Linked DNA regions of Nothobranchius furzeri. The protein of the gene in region 1 purifies or fractionates together with the protein of each later gene. This does not show direct contact. Links are inferred from orthologs where the notes say so. Each region holds a gene or a part of one and is shown in the gene's direction. Other genes may lie near its edges.

Region 1 (3,647 bases):
GAATTAATGAAGAGTAAGGGCTTCAGCGTCACCCTGAGTTTCGTAGTCGTATTCGAACACTGGGAACAGAAGTGTAAATTATTTCCTGTGCAGCTGTATTTAGTTTGCACAATTAGAGGGATTAAATAAATTAGTTGGCTCTTTTCTGCCCATGTGTTCTAACCCTCGGTTGGCTCTGCAGCTGCTGGGTCAGCCGGGCCAGAAGGAGGCATTTATTTATACAGTTATATTGTAATAATTTAACAAGTGGTCATGATTATATGTAGCTTGTCTCAAAAATTGGGATCCTTTTCTAATGTACTTGAATGCATTTATTATATTGTGTAACCTGACCAACCTGACCAGTGATGGTAAACGGCTTTAGGTCCTTATAGAAGTTAAAATGTAACGTCAAGTTGGAATTTGGGAGGGGAATTGGACACGTTAAGCAAAGTAAGATCTCATATGAATCAAATGTGATTAAAACCATCAAAAATAAAGGTTCAGTTTAAGCAGAACTTCTTTCTGTAGTATCGAACATCTGAGGTTTGGTATTGTAGATGTTTAGAGATAGAACATCGTATCGCTGCATGAAACACAAGGCCCTCCTGCTGAACTTACTGTAGAGAACCGTGATGAGTGCGAGGGGCATCACCAGAAGTCCCACCAGCAGATCAGCCACAGCCAGTGACATCAGAAAGTAGTTGGTGGCATTCTGCAACTTCCTTTCCAGCGACACAGCAAGAATGACCAGGATATTTCCTCCGACGGTGGGGATAATAACCATGACGATGAGCAGGGCGGCCCATTTCAGCTGAATCTCAGGCGCTTCGCCTGCGTGCAAACTGTTGTTGAAATGCGCCATGACTGGCAGGGGCGTGTTGCTGCTGAGATCCCAGCGGGCCTGAGCGTGGGTGGAGGCTCTGATCTTTCTGGTTTTGGACTCTCGGTCAGCATGGTCACTGGGTCCCACGGGCAATGGCGAAGGGTATGGCGGGACCACTCAAGGCGTGTGCATGAGACGCATCATCTCCAGCAAAGAATACAAATCAAAACCAACAGCTGACACTCTCAGATAGTCACTGCTTGAGAGGCACGAAAATAAGAAGATCTAATAAGTCCAAAGCTAGAATAATCCCACAGCAAGTCATACTTCCTTGGCGACCCGTAGCTGGAGACCTCACATTCCCACGTTGCTCATACTCCAGTCATCTGTGTGTAAGAAGGAGAAATGTCTGTTTAGGAAATGCTGATGCTGTTACCTGATTTCATTTGTCTTAAGAGTGATGTAATAAACATTAACCTAGAGGCCTTTCGTTTCTCTAGTAAATCTCTCGGCTATAACAAAGAATTAATAATGGCCCACTTGCTTCTACAGATGATGTTGTGAGGCGTTTGTAACTAGAAATGCTCAGAATAATTCTCGGTGCTCCCGTTCTTCCGCTCACACAGAGTTGTGTGGTTGTGTGAGAGTCGGAACAGTTCTGAACCTTAAAGAGTTGGTTTCTTACCTTCTTGTCGGGGTTTTATTGTCTGAAGTTCTCTGACTTGTAAATTCCCGAGTATCTTTCCTGGCTGCTCAGTCCAGACAGCCATGCAGCTCGGCGCCGGTGCTCTTCAGAGTCCACGTTGCTCTACTCCGAAGCTCCTAAGGTAAGAATGTGATGTGACTGAATCACCTCCTGCAGCAGCTACGTCTAGTAATCCATGGGGTGGGGTTAGCTCCACACGCTGGAGCGAATTAGAACAAGGTCTTGCTTTGCAGGACAGGTTTAAAACTTTCAGATGCTGTGGCCCCTCCGCCTCGCTCTCATTCCTACTCACTGGTTCTTTCTTACTGCCTGCAGTCGGCTCACTCTCCTCTTGTGTCAGTCGTTGTCTCCCCCCACCTTCCCTTTTCGTTTTGCAAGTCAAACTCTATACAAAACAGATGAATGTCCTCTTGCTGGACACATGCCAGTGGCTTAGGGAGGTAATTCCTTTCAACACGGCTGTCCCACTGTTTAGACGACCCCCCCCCCTCTTGAAACAAGCAGTTATACTGGTGCAGCAGTGGTTTAAGGGGGGTACCCTTTTGTGTGATGACTGTACTGCACAGCTTTTTCCTTTTTCTCCCAGTGAAATCAGACTTCTGGGCTAACAAAATCCAACACAGTCAGCTTTGTGTCAGTACTCTCAGATATGATGCACGCTGTTACAGTCAGACAGGAACTTTACCTCTTAGATTTTTAGACTCCAAGCTTCTTTCTTTTGCTAAACAGACACTCTTTTATGCGTGTTTCCACTGAAACCAAGAATTTGTGTTTTAACAAGTGCTGAAATGATTGAGAACATGCCCATTGATAAAAGATGACACACAGGACAATCCACAACCTACGTTGTTGTTTTTGTGCAAATACAGAATCGGTTCATAACAGATCTAGTGAAGGTTGTGTTAAAGGGTTGCTCGTATGTCTGATACTGTTGTCTTTTGGTCTGTGCACCTCTAGAGTCTGTGTCTAATTGAGTTAAAGACTGAAAATGTCTTTGACTCTTCATGTCCAGTGTCCTCACTCAGTCCTCCATATTCATCCTCTCATCGTGCCTCTGCAGGACTCCGGAGCAGTGCCCCAGTGTGGTGTCACTTCTGTCGGAGAGCTACAACCCTCACGTGCGCTGCGGAGCCGCCATGGCTCTGGGCATCTGCTGCGCCGGAACAGGCAACAAGGTGAGAGCCTGCCATCACAACATCCTCTTTCTTCAAGTCAAACCATTTGATCATCGTTGTCCTTTTTGACGAGCTTTTGTTTCTAAAAGATAAAATAAATATTAACTGCATTTTAGCTGTGTGCTTTTTTCCTCCTCCTGGTACAACCTGTGCATCAAAGATCACATTTGCTGAATGAAGGCTGCTCCACTCAGCAGCTGTTTAATGGTTCATCTGTAAAACTAAAGAGTTGCCTCCTTACGGTAGAATTATTTTAGCCATTTGGCTAATATTTGAGTTCTACAGCAATTGGAGCATTTAGTAAGAAATTCTCTCATCTAATTTCTTCTAATCCATTAGGATTTACTGTAATTTTTAATAAGGGAAGGATTGCAGATTAGCCAATAAAATGATCCAAGATGGCTCTCAGTCATCGGGGGCTTTACTCTGTCCATGTGTTCAGGCTCATTCACATGTGTGAAAACGGCGAATGTTGGGGCTGCTGCCAGTTCCTAAGTTGTCCAGGCCGATGTGGCTCGCTGCACCTTAAGCCTCCGAGCAGCTCCAGTGCTGCTCTAAGTGTTGTTGTTTTCCAAAACAATACCTCAAGGACATTAGAAGACGGCGAGGGTGATGGTGAACTCAATCCGCTATTTACTGGGAGTGTTTCTTTGCGACATCAGTCCAGTAAAACGTTTACTGGGCTGATGTTTGTTTTATAACCAAAAGAAGAAAAGCAAGAACTTGTTGAGGGAAAAAATACTGAACTTGTGCTCCAACGTAAACATTTCAGCCTGTGAATGGAGAGGTATATTACAGTCCAGTCATATCAGGTGATCTGTTTTTATTTAGGCATTAAAAAAACTCTAAATTAACTGGTTAAATATGGCTTGCTGCTTTTAATTTTCAACATAAACACCCCCACAGTAAAATTAATGTAATTTCATTTACAAATGAGCTAAAAACAGTCCACCAAGGTGCA
Region 2 (4,430 bases), on another chromosome or scaffold:
TGACATCTCTAGTCTTAAATTATCCCCACGGGTTTAATACATGGGTGAAATCTGCTTCACATAAAAACAATATGAGTTGGACTACAAAAGCAAACCATAAAGCAAACACAATAATGTCCCTGAGTTTGTACAGAGGCTGTTAATATTTACCTGCATCCTGTAGGTCTACTACAGGTCTTCTATTGACTCCAGTCGGCACAACATTACCCTCTAGTGGTCATGGACATAATTAAAACTAGAGCGTCCACTGGGGGGAAATTAAAAATATATATTTTCTGCATACTAGCTCTCAATGTTATATTTAAATTTAAATATATAAAAACAAATAAACAGAACTCAAAGAACGTGTTTATATTTAGGATCAGTGGTCAAATATTTATAAATTAGAATTATTTGTTTAGAATCTGAACGTAAAATTTTCCAGATTTCCCAACTTTCTTTCCCATCAGTGGTAGCCTGGCGGGCCATGCAGATTCTAGGCTATGTCAGTGGGTATTGTTTGGGTCTCCCTGACCAAGTTATGCACCGGGGCGTTGTTGTCTGCTCTCACAGCTCTGTTGAGATGGGAATCAAACTCTTAAATATTAATACAAAAATACAAATATCTGTATAGTACAAGGGTATTCAATTCTTGGTCTGGAGAGCCGCTCTCCTGCATGTTTTAGTGGTTTTCCTGCTCCATCACACTCAATTCAGTGGCTGAATCGCCTGTGCAGTAGCTCATCAGGCTCTGCAAAAACCTGTTAATCACCTGCTGATTGAAATCAGGTGTGTTGAAACAGTTAAAACCAAAACGTGCTGGATGCGGCCCTCCAAGCCCAGAATTAAACACAATGGTCTAGTGGATTTAATTTAGGTTTATTTAACCAAACTACCAATGATGAAAGCATATTTTTCATCTTTTAACAACCTACTTGGCACAAAACTGGCCTTTATATTATTTATTTATTTATTTAGACCAGTTTATGGACTTAAATTCAATGCAGTTTCAGTCACTGCCCTGCCCCATTATGAGAAAGTACGCCACCTAGTGGAAAACAGTAAAAACTAAACATTTAATCTGTGAACGGTCTGGAAACCCAAAGCGGAGCGGTTAACGAAATTATGTAAATACTCATATTATTATTATGAGAGCCAATAAATGACGAAGGAAGTACGATGGAATGATGCCAGCGTTGTGTTAAATGGGAAAGGGGACACTTTTGACACATTTTAGGGTAATTCACCCAAAAATTCACACCAAGGGGAAAACATTACATAAACTGCATTATAAGAGCCAAAGGGATATACAAAAACACAGCAGTGAGCACAAAAATGCTTTTGCTTGTACGTATTGTGCGTACATCCCTCAGCTGGTGAATGTGTGTGATTCAGTAGGAATGACTGCTGCCATAATTAAATTAATGGTCTTGCTGCTCTTTGATGCTCCCTTTACTTGAGTAGATGTCCACCTTCAATGAAAGTCAATTAAATTATTCATGTGTCTTTTTCTATAGGGCTAAACGCATCGTGAATTCAGAGCTGGGTTTAAAACTACACATCCCACAATGCATGGCGGCAGGTCTGGGGAAAGTACGGAACTGTCACAAAATACTTTCATTTTCTGTTTTAATGCTGAGTAACTGCGTCCATTTCTCAGTGTCGAGTTACAGAGTCTTACGCTCTTCTTTCTTCTGCTCCTGCATCATTTTATTACCGTTAAACTTATTAAATAAGTTTGTTTTTGACCAGCAGAGTCGACATGGCGTCTTTGGGGATTGGCTTCGAATCGAAGAAGCAGGTGAGCTCGGTTTCTTTGTTTCCTGTACCAAAACCGCGTCGAAACCACTTTGCCCTGAACACTTGGCGGGTGTGAGCAGCTCACGGGTGTTTGATTAGCAGACCCACAGCAGGGCTGAGGTCAGGGGTCAGGACTCAGGTTGGCTGCAAGGCCTGTACTCCTGCCAAAATAAAAGCTCAAAATATCGCGAGTTTCAAAATAAAATGGGGTTCCGCTGCTGCTCATGAATTTTATTTTATTTTAGGTGGATGACTTCTGCCAGAAGCTCTCCAAGGAGGTAACTTTTTTTGTGTACATAGATTTAATTTTTGTTATCTTAGTAGGTCTATAAACTCATGTTTTTGTTTCAGGCAGAGGAGCTGCTGTCAAAGTTTTTCCCAGAGAAGCTTGAACAGCTCCAGATGTTACTGAAGGTACGAAGCTGATCGTTTCAGATCAACAGTTATTTAAAACAACCCAGATAGAGCTCTGACAGCTGTGGAGTTGCTGTTGTGTTTGTGTCAGACATCTTTCAACTGCGAGGACCTGGCCTCCATAAAGGCTCCGCTGGACATCCCTATACCAGATCCAGCTAAAGAGGAGGCTAGGCGCAAGAAGAAGGAGGAGGTTCGTCCCACACTCCAGGGGTCTCTTAATACAGCCTGTCCAGCAGTAACCGTGATCATAAATGCAACAGGCTCCTGGTATTCAACCTTCTTCAGGGTTGAGTGGAGCCTCTAAACTGGGGTCCTCAGCTCAGTGTATATATTTAGGGTTTTATTGTGGGTTGGCACTGCTGAAACGAGTCCTTAGTTACCATGGCAGCCAATCACTGTGTAATTTCCAAGTGCTGTTTAACAAACTGACAGTGTGTGGGCCTCGTGATGCTCCTCAGTCTCCTGATGGGGTTGCACACTGGAAAATGTTCAGAATCTAATCTAATCCGGAGAATGTCTGAAAGTGATCGGGGTTTGCTGCAGCCTGCAGTAAAGGCTTTAGGTTGGAATGCTTTTTTAAATAAACCCTATTTCTTATGCAAAGACAACAAAGGAGGTGCTTATTAAATGAACCAAACAGATTAACGCCATTTAAAGCGTCTGACATGACTCTCTTTGTTCTCGTGCTGCAGAAGGAGGCTAAGGAGGGAAAGAAGGACAAGGACAGTGAAAAAGAGGAGGAGGATGCAGGTAAGTGACAGTTCTGATCAAGATGGCGGCTGATTAACAGCGTCTAAAAATAGCTGCATATTCATTCATTCACTCCCAGGAATAAAACTATACTCAGGTTTTGTTAGAAGGAATTTTATTAGATACTGTGACCATGTTGGGGTTGTTTTTCCTCCAGGACCTCCATGTGGGCCCATCTACAGCAACGAGCGAGTGGAGAGCCTCCTGAAGGAGGTCAAACCTGAGATTCAGACTCTGAGGGAGAAGCTGAACACGGTCAGTCAGCCTTAGGTTAACGTGTGAACGGATCACTTATCTTTAGGAAGCCTCTAGTTACCAAAGACTGGTGTCCTTCTGGCAGGTGTCCATGTGGGTGCAGCTCCAGATCCCTAGAATTGAAGATGGTAATAACTTTGGGGTGGCGGTGCAGGTTGGTAACAGCTGAGAATGTGATGAAACCCCACAGCTCTGACATGAATCTGATTTTTAAACGTTTATTTTCGGTAAACAGGAGAAAGTGTTTGAGCTGCTGACCAACACACGCACCAAGATCGAAGCATTCCAGACTCAGATTTCAAAGTAAGACCCTGCACCCTTCAGCTGAAGCTAAACAGGTGGACCAGGTCAGGTCTCTGGTCCTCGTTTGGGATTGCTGTTGCCCCTTTAGCGAATGACTTCTTGTGCTCATCGGTTTGTTGTAGTTCTGGCGCTAAATGGTAACAAACAGCAACGAGCGGTTGTGATTGAGTCGTTCCTTGTTTATTGTTGCAGGTATTACAGTGAGAGGGGCGACGCTGTGGCCAAGGCCTCCAAACAGCCCCATGTGGTCAGTATCCCACATCCACCATGGTTATCTTCATCCTAACACAAGTGTTGATTGTGAACGCTACCCTGAAATGGTGATGTTTGTGTAAAACTGCTGCAGGGAGACTACAGACAGCTGGTCCATGAGCTGGACCAGTACCAGTACTGCGAGCTCCGCCTTGTGGTCTTGGACATCCGCAACACCTACGTAAGGCTCCTCCTCCATGGTTTGGATGTAAACGATTCCAGCTGTTTCCCAGCGTCAACCACGGCTAAATGCTATCCCTGCTTCATTAATAGGGTGTCATGGAGGTGGGCGGGTAATTAAAGTAATAGCCTTGCTTGTGTTAAATTGATTACTGCTCCATATGCAGTCCATTAATCAGAGTGTCAGGTCCCTGTGGCCATTGTCCCCTCGTGTTTGATGCTGTTAATGGGCAAGGCTTCTCAGCCCAGGATGAAAGGGGTTGCTGGGTGGAGGAGGAGGGGGTGTGTTACCCCCTCTGTCTTGGATCTTGTGCTGAATCTTTTGGGAATCTAACAACCGCCCTCACGAGTCTGTCCGTCTGGTCCTTGTCTCTCCAGGCCGCGCTGTTCGACATCATCAACAAGAACTACGACAAGATCAAGAAGCCCAGAGGAGAAGGGAAAGCTCTCATCTACTGAGACCAGAGACGTTTTTAACAAGCTGCAGCTACTGT

What was found.
Region 2: the proteins of psmd1 (region 1) and psme1 fractionate together in Homo sapiens (co-fractionation; 3 studies listed by BioGRID, with this or other methods). This does not show direct contact. The link is inferred for Nothobranchius furzeri from reciprocal best matches to the Homo sapiens genes PSMD1 and PSME1.

Annotation. Positions count from the first base shown.
Region 1 is NC_091748.1:61,518,440-61,522,086, forward strand, and holds part of psmd1 (26S proteasome non-ATPase regulatory subunit 1), read left to right. Parts: intron 1-600; coding exon of another isoform or gene 601-844; exon of another isoform or gene 845-1,038; intron 1,039-2,571; coding exon 2,572-2,686; intron 2,687-3,647. Other genes in the region: htr2b (5-hydroxytryptamine receptor 2B), read right to left, coding at 601-844.
Region 2 is NC_091747.1:42,055,348-42,059,777, reverse strand, and holds the start of psme1 (proteasome activator complex subunit 1), read left to right. Parts: upstream 1-1,515; 5' UTR 1,516-1,741; coding exon 1,742-1,780; intron 1,781-2,024; coding exon 2,025-2,057; intron 2,058-2,130; coding exon 2,131-2,193; intron 2,194-2,284; coding exon 2,285-2,386; intron 2,387-2,888; coding exon 2,889-2,946; intron 2,947-3,103; coding exon 3,104-3,201; intron 3,202-3,286; coding exon 3,287-3,355; intron 3,356-3,436; coding exon 3,437-3,504; intron 3,505-3,696; coding exon 3,697-3,751; intron 3,752-3,850; coding exon 3,851-3,937; intron 3,938-4,314; coding exon 4,315-4,395; 3' UTR 4,396-4,430. UniProt on the Homo sapiens protein: Implicated in immunoproteasome assembly and required for efficient antigen processing. The PA28 activator complex enhances the generation of class I binding peptides by altering the cleavage pattern of the proteasome.